Linked DNA regions of Arabidopsis thaliana. The protein of the gene in region 4 interacts with the protein of the main gene of each other region in a pairwise test. Each region holds a gene or a part of one and is shown on either strand. Other genes may lie near its edges.

Region 1 (6,868 bases), on a different chromosome or scaffold from region 4:
AATCGTTCGTTCCTGTCAACATGTACATCTAGTCATCTAGATGAATCTCCATAACACGTCTCACGTACACAAAATCTGATAAGACGGCGCTAACAGTGTTGATGAACAGATGGGAGAATCTAATAAGTAGCATCTCCAAAAATGTCAACACGAAAATTTTCGGGTAAATCCAAGACTCCAATATGGCAATATACCATGGAATCCATGGAATCCCCCACTTATTCCCAAAAGGGTTACTTTACTGAAGATAAACTTGAATAAACAAACGATCAAATTAATTACCGTACCTGAAATACAAATGTATAGTATCGTGGGAATACGTCAACGCTCAAATCATGATATTGGACTATAAACATCAAAATGTCTTTTATCTTAGTAGGCATCCTCACGCAGAAAAATAGAATTGAAGTATTGATTTATTCAAACATTGTTAGCGTATTGTAATCTGAATTTCAATATAATATACGTGTATATAATTTATAGATGGTAAAAGAAAATTGTAAATATATATTCAGAAATTAACTACCACTCTTTGTAACTACGTATGATAATTAAATTCTAACAATCACCAAAAGATCAGAAGTCCAAATATTCAGAAAATTTTCATTTTTCATACGGGTATTACAATTGTTATTTTTACAAACCAACAATTGGGCAAAAAGCCAACGATGTAATATTTTTTTCATTACCTATAGTTTTAAATCAGACATGATAATAAGATATAGGCTGTCCCTGGAAATATAATTTTTATTTTCTAATCACTTTATTTATATAGAGAAAACACTATCTTTGAAAAGCAAATTAATTCATTCACCCTTTTTTTGAAATATTAAAATATTGAAACAAATCACAAATCAGCTTTTGCTTTTGTTTTCTTCATGGTGCTTTCGAAAGGTTAGGGATCATAATGCACTTTTTCTTATCCTTTTTTTTTTTTTGGTATCAACTTCTTCTTATCTTTAACCCTCGGAACATTCAAAGAATGATCCTCTCGCTTGCTTTAAATTTATGTGGGTCTCATTGCTGAATATTATTCGTATGTTGATAGGGTGAATTTTATATACATTAGAGAATGAAAGATTTAAGTCACAAAATAAGTTAATCGTTGGTTTTTTTTTTAATATACAAAACTGGTTGAGGATATATTTCTTTACCAATCTGCTCAATCTATTAGCCCTAACTCATAAAATAAACCAGAGCATCTCCATCCATACAATTTTTAGAGTTTCTTTTGATAAAGATAATATAAATAATTAATAAATGAGGAGAGAGAATGACAAAAAATGAAGAAACGTTTCTTGAGAAATTTTGGAATAATCAGTGAAAGACTATTTCTATAAGTGTTTGCTTATAATTGAATATTTTTTTTAAAAAAAAATAATTACAAAATTAAATTACAGTAATTTTTTATTTTATTTTAAAACCTTTTAAAGTATCTTACAGATGAAGATGACCTAATAGTGGAATACTGCCAATTAAAATTTAAAATAGCAATGGTACTAGTAGTTAGCAGCAGCAGCAGCTAATGAATGATTTTTCAAAATAAAGCAATCTCATATTCGGATGGATACAAATTCTGATAACCAACACAATAAAAGTACTAAAGTTAACAACTCGTTAACATTATAATTATTACATCACCATTTATAATCCATTTACAACGAAACAACACACTTCAGACCAAAAAAAAAAAACACAAAAACACAAGCATATGTGACAACACGAACTACATTCATGATTCATGCATGGTCATCATCACCATCATTATTTATTATTATTACCATCAACATCATCAAGGTAACATATCCATAGACATCATATTGACATGGTCACGTGGGATTCATCGATTATGAGTTTCACTCATCCAAAATAGTTATCAATTTCGTCAAACAAGTCTTGACGTTCATAGACCGGCGTCACATCAACGACGTCGTTTTCATCCTCGTGAAGAAACCTCGTAAGTTCTTTCATGAACGCAGTGTTTTCAACACAAGACTCCTCCAACATCATGAAATCTTCATCATTCAGAAATGTGGAGAACCCGATAGTATCCTCATCATCAACGTTGTTATTACCAACGAAATTATCGCAGTACATTAGAGGATTGTTAACGGAGGAATCAGAGAACGTGGACGAAGAACACGTCAGATTAACGTTACCATCAACGTCAAAGTTCGATGAAACTGGTGTTGTTGCAACGGTCCCATGGCAGAGAAGATTCGAGGTTGGTGCGAAGGAAGAACTCGTTGACTTAACTGATTCAGAGTCAACGGAAACACTTGTAGTTGTAGTATTAGTAGTGTGACTAGTAGAAGCAAGTGGGCCTCCACTTCCGATAATCTCAGACAGAACACTCTGATTGATTCTCTTTCCGAACCTATTAGCTACTTTGTTCAAGAAACTAGCCGATGATAATCCAAAATTCTTGTTGTTCTTCTTCGCCTTGTCATTATCAAGATCATGGTCACTAGTTGTCAGATTAACATTTTGTTTCTCCGGGAGGTTTTCTGATTTGTCGGTACCGGAGGTTATGCCCTTGTGTGTAACTGGATCAATACCTTTCTTGATCAAACGTTTTTTGATATGAGTGTTCCAGTAGTTCTTGATCTCGTTATCGGTTCTTCCTGGTAGTCCACGAGCTATAGCAGACCATCTGATTAAAACCACATATAAGATTACAATATTAGTAAATGTTAATGCAAACAAAAAATAAGTATAAAATGTAGAGGTAGAGAGACTAACTTGTTGCCGTGAAGGGCGTGAAGAGAGATGATTGAACGTTCTTCGTCTTCAGTGAACTCTCCTCTTTTGATGTCAGGTCTAAGATAATTGGCCCATCTCAGTCTGCAGCTTTTGCCGCATCTCTTGAGTCCTATCCAATTAGAAGAATTATTTAAGTAAAATAATTGAGCAATAATGACCAATAAAGGTCCAACATTGAATATTCAAACATGACGGAATAAACATAATAAAAAATAATACATACCAGCTTTTTCGGGGAGAGTTCGCCATCCACCTTCACCGTGGCGGTTAAGGTAAGAGAGAAGCTTCTGATCTTCCTCGGGAGTCCAAGCTCCTTTCTTTAACCCTAGTTCAGCTTTGCAACACGGTGTCCGCACCATTCTTGATTCTTCAAACTTAGCTTTCTTGATCGAGTTCAAAGGGGGTTGTTCTCAAGTGAAACAAAGAGGGACAAAAAAACACAAAAAAAAAAACTGAGAGGTGAAACAAAGTGTGAAATGGGGCGTATGATCATAGAGATTGAGCACAAGATCTTTTGATTAAAGAATTCAGACATCGGTAGATTCTTCGAATAGACATCTTGTTCTTTTGTGATACTCGAGATCGTTATAACATTGAACGAGCAGAGGAGAAGAGAGATCTAGTTGCTCTGTTTTCTTACCACAAAGAGAGACACAAAGAGAAGGTTTTATAGAGAGAATCTTTTTTTCTCTAAAGAGAACTGTTTGTGTTACACTTTGCAAAGTGGGAAACTTATAGGAAAGAGCCCATCTCTATTTATGCTTGCCTGAGGCTGTACGTGTGGCTGCTGCCAACGTCGTCGTTTAAATATGACTGACACATGGCTCATTATGATTCCTTAACGCAATTTTTTATAATCGGATTATTACATAAAAGAAAAACTGCTAACTTTTGTCAGTGGACATTTTGACACTAGACTTTTGATCTTTCTTAAACTAATTTATTTTATTTTGATTGTCAATAAAAAAATACTACGAAGACATCTATTATATAATATCATTTTTCATAATCCCATGCATAAGAACCGCCACATCTGATATGATATTGATAGTAGCAAAAAAAGGGGAAAAAATAGAATGAATATAGCAAAGGTTGCTAAAAAAAAAGAATGAATATCAAGCATGCAAAATATGTAACGTAAAATTGTCTTGCCTATGTAAATAGCTAATTACGTATCAATTTATTTTGAAATCTATGTCTGCTATGCAAATAGTTTTGATTATGCAATCCAAAATATAAAATTTATTGAAGAATTATAATACGGCGCCGGCAGGTCCGGAACACCAATTAAATTAAAATCCTGTTGAACTTTCTCTTCGATCTTTGGAGATATTTTGTATTGACCCGATTCTTGACCAAAATTTTATTTTAGTTTTTTGGTATTGACCGTCGGTCCAAAGTATATATGAAACTATAATTTCTCAGCAAGTTTTTAATTTTATAACGAGTAAAAAAAAAGCTTTATTGAAATTGGCAACAAATTTTAACCAATGTAAAAAAACATTTTGAATTTATCAGAAGAGTTAAAAAATGTCTATCGAAATGAAAAACCACAAAGGTACGTTTCCATGACAGAATGAATTCAACTTTAAAACTTGGAGTGCGAGGACTTTTCAAAATACGACTGAACTCTTAGTATTTTTTTCTCTCAAATATTTAAATATGCTTAAACAATCATAGAGACGACAAAATTATAAAGAAACAATTGGCAAACTAGCACACGAATTGAAAATTCGAGGAAGGTAAGGTAGAGAGGTACAACACAAAAGTAGTCGTATTTGAACTAGATTAAATTAAAGCAACAACTTGGTCACTCAAACACTGGACTTGGACATATCGATATCCATTATACCAAGGAAAAATCTAAGGTACAAAGAAAGAGATAAGCTATTTTCTTTTTTCGTACAACTAATTTCCACTTTTCTAGTTAGACAGAACCCATTAATTAGTCAACATTGTGTTTTTTTTTCTCTCTAATATGATATGAAAGTACATACGGTTATGAAGAAAGCTAACCAGCTTGGTTTACATCAACCCAACTCTAAATTCAATGATTCATGCTAAAAGTATGACAACTAAATTACAGTAGTTCTTTAGTACAAATACTAAAAAATAATCTCACCTATGTTGTTGAATTTTTTCTAAACCTCCGGCAGAATTATCAGCGGCCACGGTGGCAGCTAACTCCATTAGTCGTTCATAGTCAATCTCACTACACTTGTACTTCAGTTTCATACCAGCTTCAATCCATGATCTGATACAAATAACAGATTGTGTGCTATCATGAGGCATGCAATACTTCTGCTTATCAATCTCTTCTCCTTTACCACAAAAGATCTCTTCCGGTGCAGCAGAAGTCGCCTGAACCGCAAGGAAATCCCGAGCCATGTTGGAAAGTCGCGGGTATCTTCCACTGTTTACCTTCCACCAATCAAGCACATCAGTCTGCATTGGAACTATAGACTCTGATAAGTACTGAGTCAGTTCATCAACAACATTGTTACTCATACTTCCTCTTCTTTTCCTTCTAGCGATTTCCTCTGCAAATGAGATATTTCCTCCTCCTTCATCTACCTCCTGAGGACGATACCCGCTAGTCATTGAAGATGTGAAATGAGAGGAAGAATAGTTACGAATGAAATGACTTCTTGCTTCATCTATATAGCTCTCGAGATTAATCGTCTCTGGAATGTACTCTGTTTTGATCCGCGGGTCAAGAATGGCTGTAATGTAAGTGAATACGTTGCACACTTGAGTGTTGTAACTTCTGGCCTTCTGGGCCATGCTCTCAGCACAAGTTCTTAGCCAGTCTGGGTTGTGGCATGATTTCTGGCAAGTTGTGATCATCTCGGATATGTTATCCATGAAGAGCAGTGCTAGACCAACCGTGAGATCCTTGTTCGTGCACATATCGTTAGTGGTCTTGTGAAATGAATCCAAATCCAAGTAATTGTGGACAATAGTCACCGCGTTCTTCTCTACAGAACTCAACATCATTCTGTTCTCTAGAGCATCCTCGTTTTTCCTAATCACCGAGTCCAAGGACTTGCTAGCCTGCAGCAATATAAGCCATCACATATAAATATCTCAGAGCTTGATGGCTTACAGGTCAAAGTTATAGACATCTTACCTTGCACAAGATGTTGACCATCTGGTAATTGCCACTCCAACGAGATGAAGCATCGATGGGTAGTTTCCAGTTGCCTTCTTGATAAGCTGTTGTCAACTGAATGAAATCATCAGATAGCTCTGTGGACGCGTTTAACTCTTGTGTGAATTCTCTAACCTTAGAGATAATGGGCTTTATAGTTGCTAACCCCTCATCAATAATATCATTCAGAGTTTGAGCGGCACAGGGAATGTAGCAGAAAGGTAAGACCTTTTGACCATCAAAGTACTCCTTCAGGCTATGACAAGCGTGAATAGCGTTTTCGCTGTTGTCATGTGTACAACATAGAATCCTGTCTTCAATGGCATATGTCTTAAGGACTTTCAAAAGGGAGTTATAAATCTCAGAACCCCCAGAGGGATAAGGAATCCGACATATGTCGAGCAGCAACCTATGAGACGACCAATTTTCATCTATCCATTGACCCGTTACGCTCATATAAAAAATGTTTTCATATGAATTCCAGAAACTTAAAGTGACAGAAACTTTGGACTGGATATGCTCCAAGGTTGTCTTCACATCTCCCCGCATACTTGTGAAAACCTCATCAAGTATGGCTTTATATTTTTCAGCCGGCCATAACTGGATGGATGGCTTAAGAAATTTGAAGGAGTTTCCCAACCATGTTTCGTCTACAGTAGAGGGAGGAAGTGATGACAAAGCAAGCCACTTGAGAACTAACCAGTTAAGATGATCATAATCGAGTTGTGGTACTTTCGACTGGGATTGTGACGGTTTAACAACAGCCGGTGGTGTCTGTGGTACTGATGAGCTGGTGACAACATCTGCTGCTGCCTTATCATAGCCTGGATGTCGATTAGTCAGATGCCTTCCAAGATTTCCTTAAGAGCAGGAAAACAGAACAAGAACAAAAAATATGTTGTTAGTAAAATCAAAAGGACTTGGAATAAAATGCAGAGGATATAAGAATAATAC
Region 2 (7,159 bases), on a different chromosome or scaffold from region 4:
GGGTTTTGATTCCGTCACGGTGACGCTAAGAGTCGTGAGTGCTCTGTATCCGTACGATTCGACACCGTTTAGCTCCTCAGCGAGCGATCGATGGAGTTTAAAGCTCGCGCGTGCTAAATGCGCAACAGGACTTCCATCGCACCAATCGAAAGCGAGAAATCCACCGGCTTTACCGGAAGCAGCGCACGCGACGGCTGATTTCTCGACGAGAGTGACGGCGATTCCTTTCTTGGCGAGGAAATAAGCAGTACAGACGCCGATTACTCCACCGCCGCATACAAAGACCCGCTTCGAGGTTTCTTCACCGATTTGTTTTTTAGCCGCCATTGATTTCGATGAGTTGGAGCAGATCGTGATTGTTCGTCGGGTTAACACCGGAGGGAATAATAACGATGAGATCACCGCCATCACCGAGATGAGATAGATGATGACTCACCGAGTCCACACGTTAGTTAGAAATTATTTATTGGGCTTAGTTTCTTTTTGGGCTGATCTTTTGAAGCCCATTTATTGTATAATCTCTACGCTATTGTGTGTTACTGTGTTTCCTATGATATTTAGTAGCTGATAAGTGATAACTGATATTCTCTGTATGAATTTCAATGAATAGTTTTCTGATTCTAGATGTTTTAAGAAGTTGAAAAGGACTTGTTGAAATAAATTATGGGGGAAAAGGACAAATGACCAACTAACAATCAGATAGGCCATTCCAAAATTGGGCTCCACCACTTTGACGACAAAAGCCCATTTATAGGGCGGCTCTACTTCGGCCTTTCATCAACCACACATACACTCCTAATGATTATTATTCAATATATTTTTAGTAGGTACTGTGATGTTGTTAACTTTCAGTTAGATAGACCCGCCGAAACTTTTTCTTATAATATTACATATAATTTCGCTCTGTTTATAATCATTTTATTCCTCTACTTAAACAGAAGCTTCTTTCATTCTTTGTGTTCATTGAACTTGTTTACTATACGGAAAGTTTCTGCAATTCTATAAAAATATATATAAAATAATGAACTGTTTATAGAATTGTACTTACTTTTTTGGTTTTAGTGAAGCAAATTTCTATTTAATCACACATTTACTGCACTCTAAAAAGGTGAAAACCTAAAATGTAATCGTTCACACATTATCTTCATGTTCAAATCCGATGGAATATTTATCGATCCAAGAGTTTCAATTAATAATTTGCAACATAATCTTCTTATGCCTTTCTTATTTAGCAAGTGTGATGGTCGATCCATTGATCATTGTTCATGAAAGTTGATGATGTGGTCGATATTTTCTCCACATGAGAAGTATTGTTTTGAAAAGAATATTTATCATATACTACTATTATTGACAGAAAAAACAGTGTAGAGAGTATTGTTAATATTAATTAAGTCAAAAAAAGCCGGCGGCCAATGTGGGGAAAAAGCTTCACACACTTTCATGTAGTAATCTGTCCTTTTGTTTCTAGCTTTATATTGCCCTCGCTTTTGCCCGTTCATGACTCTTATGATGCTTGGTCGTAAAACGTGATTCCATGCATTATCTTATAGAGTTATAGTATATAGATATTATCAAAATGATCAAGTTTTTAATATCCCAATTCTACATTTGAAATTTTTTAACATTTGATTTACAAAGTTGACGATAAATTTCAGATTTGAAGACGAAATAAAGCAAATCTTTAAATAAGTTTTTTTGGAAATATCATATGATATCAGAATTCTAAAAAATCCAACAAATCGGTAAGTTCTAACATATAAGATGAAATAGTACTTGGTAGGTACAAAAATTAAACGTTTTGATTCCACACATACAAAAAGAAGAAGAAAAGAGTAACTTTTTATTTGTCGTCCAACAAAGAATCGCTTTTCAATCAAGCTTTAGTGAAGGTGTTAGGTGTGTGTGGCTTAAGCATATACATCAGAAGACCAACAAAATTTATCTTAAGCACGAAGGTCACCGAACGTAGTCGTTTCAACGATGACCGTACCATTAATGCAGATTTGTAGTGCGTGTGGATATATACATGCACACGTGTGGAAGGTGAAGGTACAAAATGTGCATACGGCTTAAGGATAAGCGAGAACACGGAAGGATATTTTGTAGCAGCATCTTTCTATTCTATGCAACTAAGTAAACGAACCACATGCACCTGTTTTCTTTAATTTATTGCCTTTGTGATTTTTTTTGTTGACACCATTATGTTTTTTTTTTGTTTGTAAACCATATAATTAAGTAGTTTCCCTAAACCGTTAACAATTAATACATTCTATAATGTCGAATAAAAAGAAAAGGTAATGCAAGTGGAAGAATATCTAAACACGTTAGTAGACCAATAGCAAAATTACAGTTGCTAGCTTACACGACAGGAGGAACAAGACAAGAGTAGTTTTGCCTTTGTTAAGAATAATTAGCATGACACGTCACTCAAACTTACACGTGGAAGGATAATTCATGGACACGTGGACATACTGGAAAACAGCTGTTAAATCTTTGTCCGGTTATCGTAAGTTTTTGAATTTTAAAACTGTATTTAGCCGAATTAGGTCATGTTCCACGTGCCTTTTTTTCTGCACCACTATCTCTTTTCCACAAGAGGGGCAATGATTTTTTGGTCCAAAAATATACAGTTGTAATCTTGGACGGTGTGTCTTAAATAAAATAATATATGGACGGTGTTTTCTTTAATGTTTTCTATGTTCATATGAACTTCTCGGTGGTCGTTTCAATCACAAAATTTATCATACCAGAAAACAAAATATTTTCAATAATTGAGGCTGTACGTTGTGTATTTTAGGTTTTTTCTTTAGATTGTTGCATGTTATATTTTCAGTTTACTATATGTTGTGATGATTATTCGTTACAAATGTTTTCAAAATGTCATACTATAGTAGTCATTTATAATAGATATGAAAAATGATCACAGTTGATTTGTTTTTTTGGTGGACTACGAATAAAATCGTTTTGGTAATTGTCTAATCTTCGAGTGAGTAAGACACCGTCAATCAACCATCAATATCATCAATCAAAACCATTATTGATCTATTTTTTGGTTTAAGGAAAAGTTGGTAATTGTAAAACGACTTCAATAAAATATTTAAAACAAGGAGACCAAAACCGACACTCGGACCATTGATAATAGAAACAACGAGCAAGGTTATAGTAGTATAGTTGAGTCTCACAAACGAACACGTAAACCCAATATAATAACTACGCAAGGTTACATCTAGAGCTTATTGTTCCCATCACAATAACCTCTTGGCATTATTAATTATCAAATTCACTCAAAGTATTAAACTCCTGATGTCTAATAGATTATCAACAAATCGACAAAAATGTAGATATATAACTCAAAAGGTATAAATTCAAATGTTTGGTGGGGTTACGTAAAAACTTGAATTATTAAGAACTAACAATACTATAGTTTAATTAAAAGGAGAATTATGAACCGTTAGAGGGAAGGTTAGGGAGCGTGCATGAACATTACCTGACGTTTACCGACCTGATTCGTACCGTACATACCAGAACAAAGAGCTTTTAAAAACCCGCGTTTTACGACCGACACGTGGCAGTTCTTAAATGGATGACAGTTAGTGTTTTATTAATTGTTTTTGTTTGATTAACAAGTTTTATACAGCCTGGCTGTTTCTATTCGTATTTTCGATATAATAATTAAATATATTTCAGGAAACAAAGGCAGTGATGATTTTGCGTTCCAATTCGGCAACCTATGTTGTCGTTTTCTGCCACGTCAAAACCTCCTATCTTTTGTTAACCGCACATTTTACATCACGTTTCCTAAACCGAACATTAATATCTAACCATTTTTATACATTCACTTAATATCGCTCACACGGTTCTTTGTCAATCCCATTTTAATCCAGCTTCGTTTCAAATTATTGAGGTTTAGATCTTTTTATGATCATAGAGCAACTATATATAGATTTAGTATTGTCAATTTGTCATGCACTGTTATATGCATGAATTAGGTGTTTGTGTGTTGTTTAGTAATTAATTATACCTTCTTAGTGACAATTTGTTTTCTTTATTAGTAATGAAATTTGTGGTCAATAATTTTGATTAGTTTTCAACCCGGAAAATCGGTTATATGTAAAGTAGATATTATCATAAAGTTTTTATGTGAAGTGCTATACAGCCTGGCTTCGCTATTCTAAAGTCAAGACTAAACATAAAAATAAATAAAAACTGTCCTTACCCAAACCTAACCGTTATCATCTTTTTATTTTTTTCTTCAGATATTTCTTTTTCATTTTTATTTCCCCTATAAAAAAATTTAAATTCACCTCAAATTGTGCGAATATTATCATGGCTTTGCTAGTTGGGTTTCGTGATTTTGTCTCTTTAACTTCTTACTTTCGCCACGCGCTTAAATGGCGCGTGTACTCACAAACTCATACTTTGAGACTCGACTGATCTCCACGCTCAACTATACGAAATTGCTGATCTTGAACAAAATTATTACGAAAACGACAAAAAAGACACATCGACGTAGTCAGGCTTCGACGCGTGTCCACTTACAGCTGTACCGCAAACTTTGAAAAACCGCTTGCGTGGAAGAAGCGTTGCCCATGACTTCTCCACCGTCTTAACCGGTTTCCGGTTATCCTCCTCTCTTAAATCTCTGTATAAATAATTTTGTCCTCTCTTTAGTTTCTCGAACTTGTTTTTGGTTCATCTCTCAAAACCAAAATCACTAAAGAGGAGAAGATTGCTAAAGTTTGATAAAACATTCCAAAATCAATGGCTGATAGGATCAAAGGTCCATGGAGTCCTGAAGAAGACGAGCAGCTTCGTAGGCTTGTTGTTAAATACGGTCCAAGAAACTGGACAGTGATTAGCAAATCTATTCCCGGTAGATCGGGGAAATCGTGTCGTTTACGGTGGTGCAACCAGCTTTCGCCGCAAGTTGAGCATCGGCCGTTTTCGGCTGAGGAAGACGAGACGATCGCACGTGCTCACGCTCAGTTCGGTAATAAATGGGCGACGATTGCTCGTCTTCTCAACGGTCGTACGGACAACGCCGTGAAGAATCACTGGAACTCGACGCTCAAGAGGAAATGCGGCGGTTACGACCATCGGGGTTACGATGGTTCGGAGGATCATCGGCCGGTTAAGAGATCGGTGAGTGCGGGATCTCCACCTGTTGTTACTGGGCTTTACATGAGCCCAGGAAGCCCAACTGGATCTGATGTCAGTGATTCAAGTACTATCCCGATATTACCTTCCGTTGAGCTTTTCAAGCCTGTGCCTAGACCTGGTGCTGTTGTGCTACCGCTTCCTATCGAAACGTCGTCTTCTTCCGATGATCCACCGACTTCGTTAAGCTTGTCACTTCCTGGTGCCGACGTAAGCGAGGAGTCAAACCGTAGCCACGAGTCAACGAATATCAACAACACCACTTCGAGCCGCCACAACCACAACAATACGGTGTCGTTTATGCCGTTTAGTGGTGGGTTTAGAGGTGCGATTGAGGAAATGGGGAAGTCTTTTCCCGGTAACGGAGGCGAGTTTATGGCGGTGGTGCAAGAGATGATTAAGGCGGAAGTGAGGAGTTACATGACGGAGATGCAACGGAACAATGGTGGCGGATTCGTCGGAGGATTCATTGATAATGGCATGATTCCGATGAGTCAAATTGGAGTTGGGAGAATCGAGTAGACAAAGTGAGATTATTAGGAAACTGTTTAAATTGGAGAAGAAGAAAAATGCTCTGTTTTTTTCTCCTTTGGATTAGGCTTAAGAATTTTGGGTTTTAAGGAAATGTATAGAGGAAATCGAGTGAACAAAGCTCGAGAGCTGGGGACGTAGTGACGAAGACGAAGATCAAATTTCTCTTAAGCTATTCAGGAAAATAAAATAAATTTTTATTTATAACTACGCTTAATGATGATAATAGATCAAATTAATACACAAAGTATCACAAAGTGAAAGATAAATGATCCAGTTAAAGAACAAGTTTGTCGAGGATTGGTAAAGACTTGCATTTGGCAACTAAAGGCACAGATTTGGGCATGGTAAGACCCTTTCCTTCCGACATGTCAACGGCAACGTCATTGTCTCTCTCCCAATCGAAACACTGGATCAATGAGCCTAAAGCTAAGCTCAGTACTAGTTGGGCCAGGCCCATACCAGGACATGCTCTCCTACCGATTCCGAAAGGCAGAAACTTACCACGATGGGTCTCTGATTCAAACCTCTCTGGTTTGAAAGTTTCTGGGTCATCCCATACATTTGGGTCTCTCTGAATAGCCCACGCATTGATAAATAGCCAGGTGCGACGTGGAATGTCAAATCCAGCGACTTCACAGTCAGTGGATGAAGCGTGTGGGACAAGTAAGGGCGCCGCCGGAAACAAACGAAGAGTCTCAGAGATCACATTGTTGAGATAGGGACACTTGCCAGTATCTGATTCCTCAAACACACGCCCTTCTTTCGAAACCTCGTTTAGTTCCGTTTTGAGTTTCCTTAAAACTTCCGGATGATTTAGAAGGTTAGCCATAGCCCACTCCAACGTCACTGCGGTTGTGTCCGTTCCAGCAAGCAACATCACCTGCAATGAATCCTTTGAATCTTTGATGAATCAATCTTGATCACTCCTATTAACGATTCAAAATTATAGGAATTAAAAACTCATGTACCTGTACGAGCCCTTTGATGATATCATCAGTGTAACATTCAGGTTCTGATTCTTGAAGAGACAGCAAACGAGTGATCATCGTTTTCTCAAGCTCTGCTTTTCCTCTGTTTTTCCGATGCTCGTCGACTAATTTCTGCATAAACTTGTCCAATTTCGAAGCGAGTTTCTTTGCTCTCTTTCTGTATCCATCAAGATCAAAGAGCTTCAGAGTCGGGAGAAAATCTCCGACATAATTAACACCAGCGAAATCGAACACCTCCCTAATCAGCTTCCGAACTTCCTTAGTTTCCTCGTCTTCCTCTCGTTTTCCAGCGACCATGCTCATTAGGATGTTATACGTAAGCCCATAAAGAAACGGCTGGAGTTTCAATCTGACACTGCCTCCTGATGTTACCAGTTCCACGTTGATCTTCCGAATCATAGCTCTCACTTCGTCTCTCCGTATATCCGAAAAGTCTCTGAGACGAGCGGTGGACAAGATATCTACGGCGCAGAAACGGC
Region 3 (9,527 bases), on a different chromosome or scaffold from region 4:
AATTCTGATTACGAATGAGCAGGAACCTTGATTTATCAGGCGTCCAAAATTAAAATAGTTATCCGATTTTACTCGCATTTTTTATTTTAAAGAATTGAAACTTTAAAATGTTTCAAGAAATTATAAATATTATAACTTTATCAAAAGTTAAATATTATAATTTTAAAAACTTTTTATAAAGTATATCTTTAAAAAATGCTTTAAATATTTATAATTTTAAAACTTATAAAGTTTTAAAAATTATAAATTGAATTTTACAAGAAATTTAAACATTATAAATATATAAAAAATATATTAATACGAGACGATATATTACAGGAAAAATCTTAAATATAACAATCAAAATTCAATGATGAATTTTGGGTCGATATTGTATTTTTTTTAAGTTTCAAATTTTATAATATTGAAATTTATAAGAAAATGACAAAATTATGTTTAATTTCACGGGACTGGGTTATATGGTAGGACGGGTTTGGGTGGATAATAATTACGATTTTAGAATGTCCCATATCGCTTAAAAAAATTGGACAATGGTCAAGAGCCATACTATAAAAAGGACCAAAATGATTTCGATTACGAATGAGCATGAAACTTGATTTATGAGGTGTCCAAAATTAAAATGGTTTGTTTACTAGGGTTATTTATTTTAAAAAATTGAAACTTTAAAAAGTTTAAAAAATTATAAATTAAATATTACAAGAAATTTAAACAATATAAAAAATATTAATACGGGACGATATACTGCGAGAGAAATCTTAGATATAACACTCAAAATTCAATGATGAAGTTTGGGTCAATATTAATCTTTTTTGAAGTTTCTAATTTTATAAATATTTGAAATTTATAATAAAATGACAAATTTGTGTTTAATTTCACGGGACGAGGTTATATGGTGTGACGGGTTTGAGTGGATAATAACATGGGATAGTATGCTATGGAAAAAAACATATAATAACAATCATAATATAATTATATAATCTTAAACACTAAACAAAATTAACAATATTAAAAAAAAAAAACTTAAAACTTTAATTTTTTTAAAACACATTTTGATTCTTTTATAAGAAATTTAAACATTATAAATATTTAAACTTTATACTACGGGTGAAATTTTATAATTGACTGTTTGGGTTGATAAGAATTTACAATAGAACTAGGAGTTAAATCCTAGAATGACAATCAAAATATAATTATACAATTAAATACTACCACGAGTGAAATCCTATAATTGACGAGTTTGAATCGATATTAATATGGGATGGTGTACTACGGGTGATATTTTAGAATTGATTGGTTTGGGTTGATAATAATTTACGATAGAATTAGGAGTGAAATCTGATAATGACAATTAAAATATAATTATACAATTAAATACTACCACGGGTGAAATCCTAGAATTGACGGGTTTGATTCGATATTAATATGGGATGGTGTACTACGGGTGATATTTTAGAATTGACTGGTTTGGGTTGATAATAATTTGCGATAGAATTAGGAGTGAAATCCTACGATGACAATTAAAATATAATTATACAATTAAATACTACCACGGGTGAAATCCTAGAATTGACGGGTTTGATTCGATATTAATATGGGATGGTGTACTACGGGTGAAATCTGAGAAACAACAATCAATATACAATTATACAATATTAAACATTTAACAAAATAAACAAATATAATTTAAAACTTTAAAATTTGAGTTATAAAATTTCGTCTCGCGGTGAATTATACATTTAAATCAAACAATAACATAAATTTATTAAATCATCCTAAAAATTATTCAATTATTTTTTATTTAATAAAAATATAGGTCCGCGGTATACTGCAGATTAATATCTAGTATAATAAACAACATTCCAAACTAAAAAAATACTACAATCACGACCAAAGTTTGCTCTAATTCCAGTCAAAGTTTCAAACCCTAACTGTAAAAGCTCTAGTTCGAGAAAGATCATAATTGATAAAGACAACGACGGCGACGAAACTCCACGGTAAAAGATGCTACCACCGCGTCTCTGAAGAAGAAACTCCTGAGTTTTGGAGGCGACGACGAGGAGGGAGAAGACGAAGCTTCCCGTGTCAAATCCTCTTCGTGTCCGAGGAAATACAGGCGGTTTGTTGTTTATGGATATAAATTATGGTTAAAAGAACGTAATTGATGTTTGTTGTTTTATCCCATTATATATGGGATCTCGTTTACTTCAATAGTTTGGAAAATCAAGTATTGAAGTTGAATATATAGAAGATATGATTTTCATCATTTTAAATAAAAGTAATTAAATGCTAGTTGATATATTTTTCAATGGCATATCTTATAATACCCCACATAACATTTGATTATTTTGCTAACAACATTGCATAAATAATAGTACAAGATAGCTCTTGTTGCTAAAGTACACTTGATTTAATCTTTTTGCCGTGCTCCAGACTTTGTCCTAGAGAGTTGGGTCATACAGGCTTTTGATTGGCATTATAATTAAGTGTGTTTCTCTTTTTCTTTTTCAAAATCGTTCATGCGCTTTGGTTTAGTCAAATACATAAAAGATATCTAGTATTACATTGAAAACCATAGAACAAAGTAAGAGGAAGAAACAAATATAAAAAGTGTGAGATGATCAAGTATATAAGAGAGTGAAAAATGTTTTCACTTAACACTGGACGCTTCCAGAAAACTTTGAAAGCCTTCCTTAACGATATATTCCTCAAAAGAGTATGTTCTAAAATGCGGTTAGCATAACCGGGTCGCCCTAGTCTTCTTAGGTCTCATACGATTATGGACCCACGAGATATATATAACAGGATTTCGGATGTACAAAAGAAAAAAATCAAAGATATAACTATAATAATAAATTATAATCCCTTTTTGAGATAAAATGATTTAAAGAAAAAAACAGAGGAATCAATTTTGGTGTTTAACTTTTACCGGATTGTGTGTTTGGGTTTTGTTTTTATAACTTCTACTGTCCCGTCTTGAGCCGTTTTGGTTTCCGAGTTTGCTTGACATTGTCGTTTCTGGTTCGAGAAACCGGTTCACGAACTTCATGATCCTATCGAGATGTGAACAAAACTATAAACTATCAAGATCCAACTCATGAAAATGTGTTTGAATTGAATCAAACGTAAGTAAAGAAAAAGATACCTTGAAGGAAGAAGACGAGGATTGTTTAGCGAGCTCGATTTCAACGGAGATGCTTGCTTTCGTTAAGTCCACTCCTGAATTCTCCAATGCTTCTCTCAGTGTTTTCACTAATCTGCTCCACACACAAAAGTAAATGTATAAAAGGTTAATAATTTTTTACTTTTACTTAACTGTTGCAAGATCAAAATTCAAAAGAGAGTTTTTTAGTTTTACCCTTGTGAGTAAACACTTGAAATTCTGATGTTACCCTCAAGAACTTCCTCATCTTCTTCTTCTTTTTGACTCCGGGAACTCGGACTTGGCTCTACAGCCTCTGATGATGCGACTCTTGCGTGGAACTGGGGTACGGGATTACCCGCAATCACAGGAGAGAAAAAACTGTTGCTTTGAATCGACAATGGAAATGGAGAGGTCGTCGCGGTTGTTGGATGATCAATAACAACACCTTGTGCAGTTGCAAGGACCGAAACCGGAATGTTGTTTTTCTCTTCTTCCAATTTTGGAGCAAAAGCAACTCCTTCAGGTACTAGCTGTTGGTTGTTGTTACTCTGCTATAATGTAAATGGATCACACGGGTTAACATTACATGGTTTGTTTGTTTTCAGTTTCCAACCCGGGGAATAAAAATGAAGTATGGTCGGAAAATGTGAGATTATATTTACCCAATTCAATAGCTTCGCAGGTTCGTGATTCCATCCTTGGTAAGAGGTCACATACTTGTCTGCTTTCTCTTGTAAGAATTGAATATACTCGATAACCTGTATGAAGTTGTCAAAAAAAAAAATTGGAGATTAGGAGCAGATGTGATTGAATCTTACTGTCACAAAATTTTCGGCCAAAAGAGTATAGTTATACCTCTAGTAAGAAGGAGGCCTTATCCCGCTTTTGGTCGCTGTTAGGTATTAGTTGTCTCAACATCTGAAATCTGCAGAGGGATCCATTAACAATGTTTGATTAGTATCTCCACTCTGCTAAGCTATATAACCAATTCTGGTGGCTTTTGCTACATATTCAGGACTTACCTATCATTGATCTTGCTCCTTCTCCGTTGCTCTGTAGCAGAATGTTTAGACCTAGGTGTGTTCAGCTTTTGATCGTTAGGAGAGCCTCTCACATCTGCTTTTACCCTCAAATCCACTGTAAAGAAGCAATCAATCAGATCCTAAGCTGTTACTGTTTAGACTTTAGATATCATATAGGTGGAATCTCGGACAATACAAACCTCTATGGCTCTGGCTAGTCGAGGAGCTTTCTTTCTTCATGATAAAATCTTCTTCATCATCTAAATCATCTTCCTGTGAACTTCCTTTTGCTGACCTTATCATGTCCATGAAGCTCTGGCTCTTAAGCACAGACCCTCTGCAACCAAAGTAAAACTTTAGTTGATCACTCTTTAAAGTCCATAGACCGAGTTATATAAAAAAGAGAAGATATGAGACTAACTGAGAGGAAGAGAGAGAACTGAAACCGCTCATATGGTTGTTTGTCAAAGACTGGGACCGTCTCTCCGCCACTGGCCATTGTCCCACAGTTGCTGCAACATCAGCTACACATTCAAAAAAACTTATATTTCATCATTCCATTGATTTCTAAATACTACTTTAAAACTAGTCTAAATAAACATCACGATTCAAGTTTTCTTGTTACCTCTCATGTTTACTCTCTCCCCAACACTATTCTCCTTCCTTGTCTGTCCCTTCTTCCCAGAAGCAGATTCATCCCACAGAGTGAACCCGCTTGATGCAGCGGCGTACGAGCTGCAATTAGAGTTAGAATTCTCATCCAAAACGTTTCTCTCATTAGCATTGAACATCATTGGTGGTGACAACTCCGGCTTAGGAATTCTCTGATGATGATGATGGAAGTAAGGAATGGGGCTAATCGTATAAGTCCCTATACCACCGGGAAGCACGTGCTGCAACGGTGGAGGTGGAGCAGGGGGCGGTGGCTTCTCGGACGCTGTAGTGGTAGAGTTAATCCTACTTACGTCTTCTTTAGCACCAACACATTCTAACGGTTGAAGAAAATCATGGGTTTTCAAGTGACTACCTGCTTCACGTACCATCAAAATTAAAAACATAAACTATATGTTAGAGAAGTAAATCCCTAGATAATACACATTTTCTTATACATCAAGTTGTATGCATTTAAACGCTTATAGTAATTAACAACATTTTGTTATTTATGTGATGCAATTCTAGGGATCAACATCATGAGGGTTGAAAGATATTTATTTAATCGAAGGCAAGGTTTAACGACATGTGTAGACGAAAAAGAAAGAAAAAAACGGTCCCAAAATTCCATGGGCTTTAAACACAGATGGGCCCATTAGGACCCAACAAAATAGCAACATTTTGATCCATGATTCGTCTTAAAGTCAGATCAGATGCACGCGCGAAAAAAACGTGACCCCTTTTAAGAGAATCTTAAAGAAGAAAAAAGGGTAAAATGGTAAAAAAAAATACCTTGAGAAGAAGGTGGTGGTGTTGGCTTTGGATCTGGGTGGACGGTTGAATGACTGCAGAGCGATAAAAAATCATGTGTTGGTTTTCTCCCTGTGCGAAATTCTTCTTAATATATATATCAAAATTCAAAAAAATACATAAATTTAAAATTATGAATCTTGTAGAAACTAAACACTCTGTTTTAAAATAAAATAAAGGAATTGGTAACAATAATATCTGATAATGGTGTTTACCTTGGGTTTTGAAGGGACGAGGTTGAGGAAGCTCCATGAACGACAGAGCTTCGACGGTTTTTGAATTCTTTTTAAATTATTCTATTACTAATCTGTGCGCGGGAATTATCGCAAAAATTGGCTAGCAGCTCAGATCTGCGACTTGTAGCAGCTGATTCAAGAGATATTGTGGTTTTCGATGGTTGAAGAAGCGGAATTGAGCTCTGAAGTTGCTGAATTATGCTTTCTCTGTATCTTTTTACCGATAAAAATCCTCGAATTTGGTCAAATTCTGCTCGATTTAACCTAAATCAGCCTCCGCCGCAACTTTTCTCAGCGAATTCCACAGAATTCAAACGGGAGAATCGGCAGAAGTCACCAAATTCGTGGAATCGATAGATCTGTCATCAGAATTGGGTAGAAATTCAAGAGAATAACCATAATTCAGCGGAATTCATAGCTCAAACCAACTCAATTTCGCATAATTCAAGTCAACCAATGAACATGGAGATACAAAAACTAGAATCCAAGTCAAATCTCTAAAGAACACGAATGGATTAGATTTGAGCTAAGAAGCGTACCTTCTTCGACAGCAAATTACGTGAAGCTTTTGGCGTGTCAAGGTACTGTTGAAATTACGCCGACTACTATCATGCGTCGAAGTAAATGCAATCAAAAGGAAATCAGTTAACTAATTAAAATGGTAAGATATGTATGATTAATTAAGAATCTCATGTATCTGATATTCAAGTCATCGTACATTCTTCTATAGCCTAATACCACCAAACCTAAATGAACAGTGCGAAAAGGAAAAATAAAATAAAGAAGATTTTGTGTCTCCGTTTAGAAAATCATGCTTATAAAAACCTCCATGTAAATAATGTAATCAGACCACTGTATTACGTGGTCTATGTTCGTGTGTACTGAATGCGCATAACTAGACGACTTGTTTAATTGGTAAATTGGAAGGTAATTGGTAAGTTTGACAAAGATACGTACTACTAATTGATAGCTAGGCTTGGCTGCAAACAATTACCAATTTAATAGTAAATTTAGTAGTAGAAATTCTGCTATAGATGATGGAATATAGGGGGACAAGTATGATTTTGTTCGTACGTGTATGCGTCTATGTATTTGTGTGAGTGGAGATATATGTAATGTATGTGACATTAGGTGGAACAAAGACAGCTCTTCCGCCTTTAACAAATTGTCTAAAACCCATAGTTAAGAACCTGATCATGTGAGCTAAGCGCATTTTTATATTTAGTTGAATGCCACTTGTTACAAAATCACTAACTTATAAGTAAACCAAATAGACGACTTACAAATTACAGTACTTATTTTAAAAGTCTTGTTAGCATTTACTAAACTAACATATGTCTAGTACTGTATATAATTTGAATTATATATTCGAAAAAAGTCATCTCTTAAAACCAAAAATAAAATGATAAAATATCTTTAGTCCATTTGTATTCAAGCGAAAATAGTTATGGCTTTCAAGTTTTTGCAAGTACGTATATACTTGATTAAATTACTTAAGATTTTCAGTAGTTAAGAATTAAATTTACTTACGAGTAATATTTATTGCCCTCCCCTAATGCTTACAATCTAGTTAGTTTCTGAGTACTACATCTTTCCAGTAGTCATGAGTTTAATCTGAAGATAGAAATAATAAATTGAAAACAGAGATGGAGATGATAGTGAGAAAGGAACTATAGCTAAATAGTGTTGGATCACATGAAGTGAAAAATTGTACAAAATAGGGAAAGAGCAAAAACAATTACACATCCCCACATGCCTTCCACTTTGTCTCGTGAGTTGTTAGGTTGTGCTTAAACACGCTTTATTCTCTGTATTTTATATTAACCCCATGAATTGTATTATATTGATTTAAAATCACTCGCAATCTCGTGGTTCTTTGATGAAATGTATTATTGTTATTCGAGATTCGGTTTCTCTAGAGCACAAGTAATTGGTTAGATACATTAAAATCAAAAACAAAAAAGCAAATGGAATTGTTAAGATTTTTACACGTTTAGATGAGAAGAAAGAAAGAAATCAAGGAAAGTAAATAAAAACGAAATGGTCAATTCAAGTGAAAGGCGAATAAGAGGTTAGTGTGACGTCGTTTTCATGATGTAGTGGGACCACGTGAACTGACTCTGCAACTCACGTGAGAGAAACACTGTAGAAACATAAATAGATTTTCGAAAACATTAACATCAAGGGCAATTTAGTAACAATACTTCTTGACTAGAAACTTGGAAGGCTAAGGGTTTTAGTCGATCGAAGAAAGAAGGTTTCCATTCAGTCTCATAAACTGTTTATTGATATGCCACAAACCGACCTATCCTTAACCATTCGTGGTTCGGTTGGGCACATCATGTTCTTCCCGTCTTACGTAATTCAATCAATAAATAATCATTCAACTTGAGTTAGTTAACAAAATAAGAAGAAGCATATCAAGTAGGTTTCAACTTCAAAAGATTAAGATCAAAATAACTTATATAATACAAAACATATTTTCTTTAATTTCCTACGCATATTATAAAACATATCCATGGAATTAATTAGAATAATGTATAGGAGAAAATCATTCGCGGAGTCACAAGATTTCTTAAACATATTTTTACATATTTAATCCAATTTGAAGTAAATCAATGCGAGATCTCATCACAACTACTCACCAGGTTCATGCACACGCTAACAACTGTTTTAATATCAAGATTTGATAATATTTTAAGGGTGAACAATATTAAACATCTCTTTGCATATAAGTATATAACTATATATCAATGACATTTTTTTTTTTTTGGTTTTAATGTTAGATATCAATGCTCTCTACGTTGATTTCTTACAGAATTACAGTTTATCAAACATTCTCTTTTCAGAAGTTTAATTAAAAAAATATAAACCCTTAATTTATTTATTTTGTTGTTAAAGTGTTTTTAAATAAAACATTAATTACAGAAACTTTATGCATACACAAAAGAGTGTGTGGGAGAGCATCTCATCTGAATTAGCTGTCTTCTTTACTTCTTTTTTCCTTATAAAGAGGACTATTAGTTGTCTCTAATCATTGTTATTTTCTTAATAGTATAGTAACAGATTAAATAATCATAAAGCAATTAGAAAAGAAGAATAAGAAGCTGGACTTGAAGAAAAACAAATGTATTTGTAATGCGGACATTCCTCTGTACATTTGCACAGGAATCCTCTTAGGGATCAGTTAACAAATAGTTTATCTATCTAGATATCATGTGACTTAGGGTTAAAACACGAGATTAAACAACTAATTATGATACATTGAAATTAAATATGAAGTTTTTAACCAAGGAGAAGGCTACGTACGAGACTTTGGATCTAAGAGGACACGTGGCAGTTGCGCCGCGTAAATCGCGCCGTATCACGTGATAACGAAACCTTTTGGGGTATTTTTGGCTGCCTACCTCACAGCCTCCCCCATCCATCACGTGGCCAACTCACACCTCTCGATTATTGCGGGTCCCACGTTTCTTTTTTACGCTATCCCGTTTTCACTATTTTTTATTCAAAATATAAATTAATTTGCTAATTATAGATATAAAAGCTATCTTAAAACAAAAGCTGTTAAAATGCTTTGTTAGCAAAGGGGAAAACAAGAACAAAAACTATGTACTTTGAAAATAACGGACCGTATAATTTTGATATGAAAAAAGAGAAATTCTA
Region 4 (7,854 bases):
TATAAAGATACTAACTCTCCTTTTAGATGGAAGATTAGAGAAGACTTGGTATCGTGAAACTTGACTCGTGAAAGTGCTTAGTTAGAACATCCATCAATTGATCTTGAATATGTAACTAGAAAATATCCAAGATATTGAAGTTTCAAGAATCAACTTTTCTCCATGTCACAAGGAATTAGACGACTGAAGCTGCCCCACCTGTTAGCAAGATGTATATATAGTAAACCTAATAAGATATTCACCTTCGTGGTGTGCTCAATATATGTATGGTGGTGACTATGTTTTTTTCTTCAGTTTAGTGTAATAGATTATTGTTTTGTCGGGAAAAGAAACTAATTAGCAATTAATATATATTGAATAAAATGAACAAGTTAGAAATATGTTATTCCATCCACTATGTAAAGTAGTTCTGGTTTGTTAGAGGTCTTGAAAAGATGTGATGTCAAGTGAAATGCAAAACGGTGGCATGGCGAAGATAAGTGGCTAGAAACGGGAATGTTAATGAAACTAAAGAGAGACATATACACGTGCATATATACACTCAGATGTTGATTGTTTTCCAAGGTGTTTGTGTGAGAAATGACATCTCTCTCTCTCACCCATTCAGGCGGTGGAAAAATTCAATAACACTTTTAAAAAAGATTTTTGTTCAATAGGTTTTGACCTGAAAATACTTAGAACAAAAAATAACACAAGAGGGAAAGTGCCGTAAAAGTAAAAAAAGAAAAAAAAAAAGAGAGAGATCATGTCGCTGACATACTATACATGCCTAGCTAGCTCGGTACATTTATATATAATGTTTGTGTGTAAGGTAGATTGAGATATATGAATGGTCAAATCGGAAATAAAACAGTATATGTTCTTAAATAAGCTTCTCCTTTGTTCAACTTTTTTGCTTTCATTTCCGTTACATGATTTCGCGATTAATTACTTTTTATAATTAGTCAACTTCGACGCCTTGTGTCGTCCTCGATTTTAATGTTCTGTCTTTCTCTGCATTCATAGTTTATCTTATTTCATTTCATATCCTTACTTCTTTTTTCTACAAACAATAATTTCTAGACGAATTGAAACAAATTTCCAAAACTTTATGAGTATATATAGGATATTTTTAGTGGCAAAGGACGACTTAAATTGTAACGAAAAGAATTTGAACTTTTTTCCATTAGTCCCTACGATGAATATTTCATCCTATAGAACATCATATGAATTGATTACTTAATGAAGTTAAATTTTTGAAAACTCTATTAGGGACAATGTCCCACATCGGAAGTTGAGTAGGATCTTAAGTGGTATATATAAGATATGAGCCTCTCCACCTATTGCCAATTAGTTTTACGTTGGAAGCCCACAGTCTGATATGGTATCAGACCCCGATCCGCACATACTCAACCCGATCCACATCGGTCCGGCCCAATACTTGGCCCGCCGATCCATGCCCAAACATATCGAGATCAATGGCTAGAAGAACCATCATCTCGAGGGGGCGTATTAGGGATAATATCCCACATCGGAAGTTGAATAAGATCTTAAGTGGTATATATAAGATATGGGCCTCTTCACCTATTGCCAATTGGTTTTAGGTTGGAAACCCACACTCTAATATGGTATCAGAGCCTGATCCGCACATACTCAACCCGATCCACATCGGTCCGGCCCAATACTTGGCCCGCCGATCCATGCCCAAACATATCGAGATCAATGGCTAGAAGAACCATCATCTCGAGGGGGCGTATTAGGGACAATGTCCCACATCGAAAGTTGAGTAGGATCTTAAGTGATATATATAAGATATGAGCCTTTCCATCTATTGCCAATTGGTTTTATGTTGGAAGCCCACACTCTAATAAACTCAATACAAATACTAAAGTTGCAAACAACTATACTATATTTGCTTGAAGTTCTATTGTGATAGGATTTTGACTTACAAAAATCATATTCTATGTCTACACTATATATTGTGAAACCGGATAGCCATAATATTTACAAAAACTTAAACTAATTTCAGATATAAATAAATTTAAATTTCACTATGACCTAGTAATTATCACGAACAATTGGGAAGTTACCACAAAATGGTGGTCCTGTATTATGGAATTTAGCGAAACCACACACTTGCGGGTAAAAATAATGATGACAAAATGATATACATTGGAATGTAGAGAAAGTATATACAAATACTAATAAATAGAAAAGGGCATGGAATTGACGAGGATCGAGGGAAAGTGTGGTGTGGCAGAAATGTTATTAAGTGTGAAAACAACTGATGAATGAGCCTTTGCTTAATCACTTCCATGCACAAGTCCCTTTCCTCTTCCTCTCTCTCCCACTTCATCGAACTTTGCGTCCTTTAAAGAAAAGAAAAAACAAAACATTTTTCATCCAATTGAATTCAAACCGTAACCAGATTAGATTTAACTTCGTTTATTTTACATTATCTTCTTCTTCTTATTTTGCGGAGAAGACTTGTACAATGACCTCAATACGCTGAAGAGTTGGATTCACTGCGAGTGTATATGTGCATATAGAAACAAAATATCTAGCTATATGACCACTTTTAACTCTAAATATGGGTGTAATATGCCAAGGACTTTCTGGAGATCCACCACAACACACATTCAAGTTCAAGTTCTGCTGCTTTTAGGTCTATGAAAACAACACCAACCTTATTTTCATATTGTTCTCTCTTTATCTCATGCATAAGTATATTTTCATATTGTTCCCTCTTTATTTTCATGCTTTTAGTTGATATTTTTTTTGTTATTGTATTATCATTAGTGCGACGACACAAAGTCACAAACCATGTAACAAAATGCTTAACCAAAATAGAAAACCTTAACAATTCCAATATATTTTCTGTTATTGCATTATCAATTATCATCAAATTTTTTTCCACTGTTGCATTATCATCATTGCGACGACACAAGGTCACAAACCATGTAACAAAATGCATAACCAAAATAGAAAACCTTAACAATTCCAACTTTAACATGTGAATTAATATTATCTTAATTTTTGGATGTTCGACATTCAAATAAACTCCTAATTAAACCCTATAGATATGGTTAATCTTCTATACATGTGTCACGTACGACACTTATTAGCCAAATTGAAGTTTTGTTTTTTCCGCAAATATATAAGCGGTTTAAATAGTTGGTAAAAAAAAAAAAAAGTTAGCATGTTTGTCGTATGTACATGTTTGATGCTGCACAAATCTTGTCGTTATAAAACTTTGAAATCTTTATATCTATTATTCCTCACCGATCGGCTACTAATTCAATGGTACTTGATAATGATAATTAGTCCCAAAGTAGAGTTTTTATCTGATTATATAGAAACAAAGACTAGTTCCGGTTTGATATATAGAAGAAAGAAAAAGGATGGATAGGAATAATAAAGAAGATAAACCGGTTCAAAAGGTAGTAAATGAGAATGCAGGTATGCAGCTTATCTCTACAATGGCCTCTTCATCACATGTCGCCAATTTGTTTAGGTACAGTGTCTCTTCATATTTACATAAATAGATATCTCTCTCTCTCTCTCTCTCTAAACCACATCTTCCTCTCCACCGTTCTTTCTCTTCCTTCTCTCTCTGGACTTCAACTTCTGGAGAAGTACAAGACATTTATAAAGTACTGCTCATCACCCAACACTAAACACAATTGTCAAAAGGGTGTGGTGGAAGGAGAATCTACTTCTATCTGAACATCGATCAGTCATATCTTTTCAATCAAATCAAAGCCCTCCTCTCTCTCTTACTCCTTTTTTGTTTTAAATCAAGAAAAAGACTCCATGTCGAGCATGTCCATGTCGTCCTCCTCAGCTCCAGCTTTTCCACCGGACCACTTCTCATCTACGGACCAGCTCTGTTACGTCCATTGCAGCTTCTGCGACACTGTCCTTGCTGTAAATTTTGGATTATTCTTATATCTCATCTCAATATTTCAAATTTATAACTCTAGCTAGGGTTTCACATGAATTACTAGTTAATTAATGTGTGATATTAATTGGCAGGTGAGTGTTCCTCCGAGTAGTTTGTTCAAGACGGTGACGGTCAGATGCGGCCACTGTTCGAACCTTTTGTCGGTGACCGTGAGCATGAGAGCTCTTCTTCTTCCATCCGTTTCCAACCTTGGCCATTCCTTTTTACCTCCCCCTCCTCCTCCTCCTCCTCCAAATCTTTTGGTACATCGGTTTCATTCATCGAAACAAATTAGGGTTCTTTCATAAAAAAAACAGAGAGTAATAATTAGGGCTTTTCTTCTCGAGAAACGCAAAATTGTGAAACTCAATCCAAAAATGTTTAATTTTGTTAGCATCCCGGGATAGATCTAAGTAGTTTGGCAATGGCTAGTTAACTAGGGTTTCTTTCGAAAACATCATATCAAAGTAGTTTGGTTTGATTAGTGTTTTAAGTTTTTTTTGCCAATTAGTTTGCTGATTTCATTTATTAGGAGGAAATGCGAAGCGGAGGGCAGAATATAAACATGAACATGATGATGAGCCATCACGCTTCAGCTCACCACCCGAACGAGCATTTGGTTATGGCGACTCGCAACGGAAGATCAGTGGATCATCTACAAGAGATGCCTCGGCCACCACCAGCCAATAGACGTAACCTTCCATCTTCTACTCTTTATTTCAACATCTTCATATATATATATATAAGAAAACAAAAACCCTAATTCACAAAACCTTATCCATTCATTTCTTCAACCTTTTATATATACACTCCAAAGAATCTCGTTTGTTTATAATGAATTTATAAGTTTTGATTTCATTTTTGTTCCCTCGGTATGTGACTTCTCGCATGCACTTTTTTTTTGGTCAGAAAACAATTTCGACAACAAAAGGAAAATTAATAAGTGATGTGTTTATCCCCCGGAAATCTAGCTAAACCTATAGATGCCAACTGATATAGTTTTGGGGGTAGATCGTAAGAAAGATAATGATGAAGTGATGATGATAACGAGCAAAGTGAGAGGGAGAGGGAGAGAGAGAAAGGAGGAAGAGTCGAAGAGTGATTGTTTTTTTTTTTTTAATTGTTTTTTTTTGGTGAATTTTTAGATTTTTTGGGGAGGCACAATAAAAACCAATAATGTTTTTTTTAACAAAAGGGTTTGATTTGGAATTAAAATTGAATATGTTCTGTTTGTTTGTTTGTGGAAAAGCAGCCCCAGAGAAGCGACAAAGAGTACCATCTGCATACAACCGATTCATCAAGTAATAAGTTTATTCCTTTGCTTAAAATGGCATAATTAAATTTCCCTAATTAACCATTTTACTCATATAATTAAGGGTCGATAGATGTGACAGATTTGATTTCATTATATGATATAAAAATAAAAATGTTGACAGAGAGGAGATCCAACGTATAAAGGCAGGCAACCCTGATATCAGCCACAGAGAAGCCTTCAGTGCTGCTGCCAAAAACGTACCATTTCTTTTTTTAATATATAAAACTAATTTTCTATATTGCATTATATCCATAATCATACAATCTCATTTTAGTCTTTATGAATTGAACCTAGCTAGATTATTGTGGAGCTACATTGATACTCACATTGCTTTAAATTAAAAACATAAAACAAAATAGTTACCGTAATAATCCATAATTCATAAGCTTTATCCAGCATACATTAGCTAGGACTAGCCTTAGGATCTACGATCTAGGGTTTCAGTAAAGTTCCCTAGCAGATATTTTAGTCTGGCTTTGTATTCGTATATTTTTGACCAAGTTTTTATGTTATGTATAAGATAAATACACATTAATGTTAAAAGAGCTAAGTATATGATGTAATATGTATGAAACAGTGGGCTCATTTCCCTCACATACACTTTGGACTCATGGCTGACCATCCTCCCACGAAGAAGGCTAACGTGCGCCAACAGGTTACTTACTACTACTACACTATATTTATTTATTCAAATGTATATAATCAGGAGCATGCATGCATTGATCATCAAAACATAATCGAGATATTTTATTTTGGTGTAATGAAGGAAGGAGAGGATGGGATGATGGGAAGAGAAGGGTTTTACGGTTCAGCTGCCAACGTTGGGGTGGCCCATAACTAGCTACGAAGACTTTCCCAATCTTTTGTAATCTTCAAAATGTGGTTACTTTCAGCTCAAACTTAACTTTCTTATTACTATTTTATGATATTTGATAATCGATCAGGAGACCTTTTTTTTTTTTCTTAAAGAAATTTTCGGAACTACTAGAATTTTCTCTTGGAATTGAAAATATATTGTTTTCTCAGTTGCCGTGTTATATATTTAATATCAAAAGCATGCAGTAGCTAAGCTAGCTAGGCTTTACCATACGTTAATGATACTGTCTTTTTCTCTTTACAATTCCATATTCGAATTTGATTTGTATATAACATATTGGGAAGAATCATCAATATGTATTCAGCTCAAAAGAATTCAACAAAAAAAAATGCCTATTATCAATAAAAATTCACTGGGCTTTAGAAGGCCCACAATAGTATAATGGATCCTTTTTGTTGGGCTTATTTCAGTCAGGGAACAATAGCCTTGATTTTGTTGGGCTAACCGCTAACGCATTAAAAAAATCACGGTCAATCGGTGATCGTCAAATCTAGTTACGTGGCATTTAATATTTAAAACTACAAAATTTACCAGTCTTGGCTCAAAAAAATATTTATTCACTTTTCTTCTTCTCTGACCAAAATCAAAATTTGTTCGATTCTCATTCTTCTTCTCACAGTCGTAAACCCTAAAAAAAAAACAGAGAAATCAAATTTCAATCTCGAAGGATCTACAAAGAAGCATGACGACCGGAGATCTCGTTAATATCCATCCTACTGAGCTTAAATTCCCCTGTAAGTTTTTTTTTTCCGATTGATTTGATCCCTCTCGGATTCATTTCACCTTTTTTACGTTTTCGATTCTCCGAATTGAACCGTCGTTGTTTGTTTGGGTAACCTCTGTTATAATTTGTGTTGTTGTTGGTGGTGAGAAGTTGAGTTGAAGAAACAAAGTTCGTGTTCGATGCAATTGACCAACAAGACAACTACTCAATGTGTCGCTTTTAAGGTCTTTTACATTCTCTTCTTACAATTCTGTCTTATTAGTACACATTGAGAGAGTGTTGATGTTAATTGAGAGACACACAGGTTAAAACAACCAATCCTCGCAAATACTGTGTTCGTCCTAACACTGGTGTTGTCTTGCCCGGTGATTCCTGCAATGTTACAGGTTCTTAAAACCATTTCTTCTTTCATTCAAAAGCTTTGGTTTTTTTTAGTCAACAACACAAAAGATGATTGTTGTTTTGTTTCAGTGACGATGCAAGCCCAGAAAGAGGCACCACTTGATATGCAATGCAAAGACAAGTTCCTTGTTCAGACTGTTGTTGTCTCTGATGGTACTACTTCCAAAGAAGTCCTCGCTGAAATGGTTTGCACACTATATGCTTTTTTAAAGGAACTCTCTTGCTTTAGCTTCTTCTTCTTCTTATTATGAATTGGTTTCTTTGTTGCAGTTCAACAAGGAGGCTGGTAGAGTGATTGAGGATTTCAAACTGCGAGTTGTTTACATTCCTGCTAATCCTCCTTCACCTGTCCCTGAAGGTTCTGAAGAAGGCAACTCTCCTATGGCTTCCCTCAACGATATTGCCTCTCAATCTGCCTCACTCTTTGATGACGTGAGATGATGATTCATTTTGTTATCCAATGTTAAGAAACCGAGTGTAATATGCATCTTCTTATTTCAGGTGTCAAGAACGTTTGAAGAAACAAGTGAGAAATCTTCAGAGGTAACAACATCACAAATCTTTGTCTTTTACCATTCTCGACATCTTGATAGTTAAGTTTCACCACCAACATC

What was found.
Region 1: the proteins of YAB3 (region 4) and MYB51 interact in a two-hybrid assay, tested with the Arabidopsis thaliana proteins (one study listed by BioGRID).
Region 2: the proteins of YAB3 (region 4) and MYBR1 interact in binary tests that used the Arabidopsis thaliana proteins (3 or more experiments, as listed by UniProt).
Region 3: the proteins of YAB3 (region 4) and BIM1 interact in binary tests that used the Arabidopsis thaliana proteins (3 or more experiments, as listed by UniProt).

Annotation. Positions count from the first base shown.
Region 1 is NC_003070.9:6,386,019-6,392,886, reverse strand, and holds MYB51 (myb domain protein 51), read right to left. Parts: upstream 3,489-6,868; 5' UTR 3,123-3,488; coding exon 2,987-3,122; intron 2,873-2,986; coding exon 2,743-2,872; intron 2,654-2,742; coding exon 1,861-2,653; 3' UTR 1,501-1,860; downstream 1-1,500. Other genes in the region: AT1G18560 (BED zinc finger and hAT dimerization domain-containing protein), read right to left, coding at 4,882-5,817, 5,894-6,774. UniProt on the Arabidopsis thaliana protein: Transcription factor positively regulating indolic glucosinolate biosynthetic pathway genes.
Region 2 is NC_003076.8:26,849,348-26,856,506, forward strand, and holds MYBR1 (myb domain protein r1), read left to right. Parts: upstream 1-4,674; 5' UTR 4,675-4,761; coding exon 4,762-5,679; 3' UTR 5,680-5,965; coding exon of another isoform or gene 5,966-6,571; 3' UTR 6,572-6,659; downstream 6,660-7,159. Other genes in the region: AT5G67290 (FAD-dependent oxidoreductase family protein), read right to left, coding at 1-408; CYP81G1 (cytochrome P450, family 81, subfamily G, polypeptide 1), read right to left, coding at 5,966-6,571, 6,660-7,159. UniProt on the Arabidopsis thaliana protein: Transcription factor. Represses the expression of protein phosphatases 2C in response to abscisic acid (ABA). Confers resistance to abiotic stresses dependent of ABA. In response to auxin, activates the transcription of the auxin-responsive gene IAA19.
Region 3 is NC_003076.8:2,603,695-2,613,221, forward strand, and holds BIM1 (basic helix-loop-helix (bHLH) DNA-binding superfamily protein), read right to left. Parts: upstream 6,557-9,527; 5' UTR 6,401-6,556; exon of another isoform or gene 6,221-6,400; 5' UTR 5,878-6,220; coding exon 5,841-5,877; intron 5,710-5,840; coding exon 5,608-5,709; intron 5,192-5,607; coding exon 4,790-5,191; intron 4,689-4,789; coding exon 4,586-4,688; intron 4,502-4,585; coding exon 4,365-4,501; intron 4,280-4,364; coding exon 4,165-4,279; intron 4,068-4,164; coding exon 3,998-4,067; intron 3,901-3,997; coding exon 3,805-3,900; intron 3,694-3,804; coding exon 3,356-3,693; intron 3,255-3,355; coding exon 3,143-3,254; intron 3,051-3,142; coding exon 2,961-3,050; 3' UTR 2,324-2,960; downstream 1-2,323. UniProt on the Arabidopsis thaliana protein: Positive brassinosteroid-signaling protein. Transcription factor that bind specifically to the DNA sequence 5'-CANNTG-3'(E box). Can bind individually to the promoter as a homodimer or synergistically as a heterodimer with BZR2/BES1.
Region 4 is NC_003075.7:71,028-78,881, reverse strand, and holds YAB3 (Plant-specific transcription factor YABBY family protein), read left to right. Parts: upstream 1-3,305; 5' UTR 3,306-3,792; coding exon 3,793-3,906; exon of another isoform or gene 3,907-3,993; coding exon of another isoform or gene 3,994-4,014; coding exon 4,015-4,185; intron 4,186-4,454; coding exon 4,455-4,614; intron 4,615-5,174; coding exon 5,175-5,223; intron 5,224-5,358; coding exon 5,359-5,434; intron 5,435-5,814; coding exon 5,815-5,892; intron 5,893-6,003; coding exon 6,004-6,078; 3' UTR 6,079-6,337; downstream 6,338-7,854. Other genes in the region: AT4G00170 (Plant VAMP (vesicle-associated membrane protein) family protein), read left to right, coding at 6,797-6,848, 6,989-7,062, 7,143-7,224, 7,310-7,425, 7,511-7,672, 7,742-7,783. UniProt on the Arabidopsis thaliana protein: Involved in the abaxial cell fate determination during embryogenesis and organogenesis. Regulates the initiation of embryonic shoot apical meristem (SAM) development.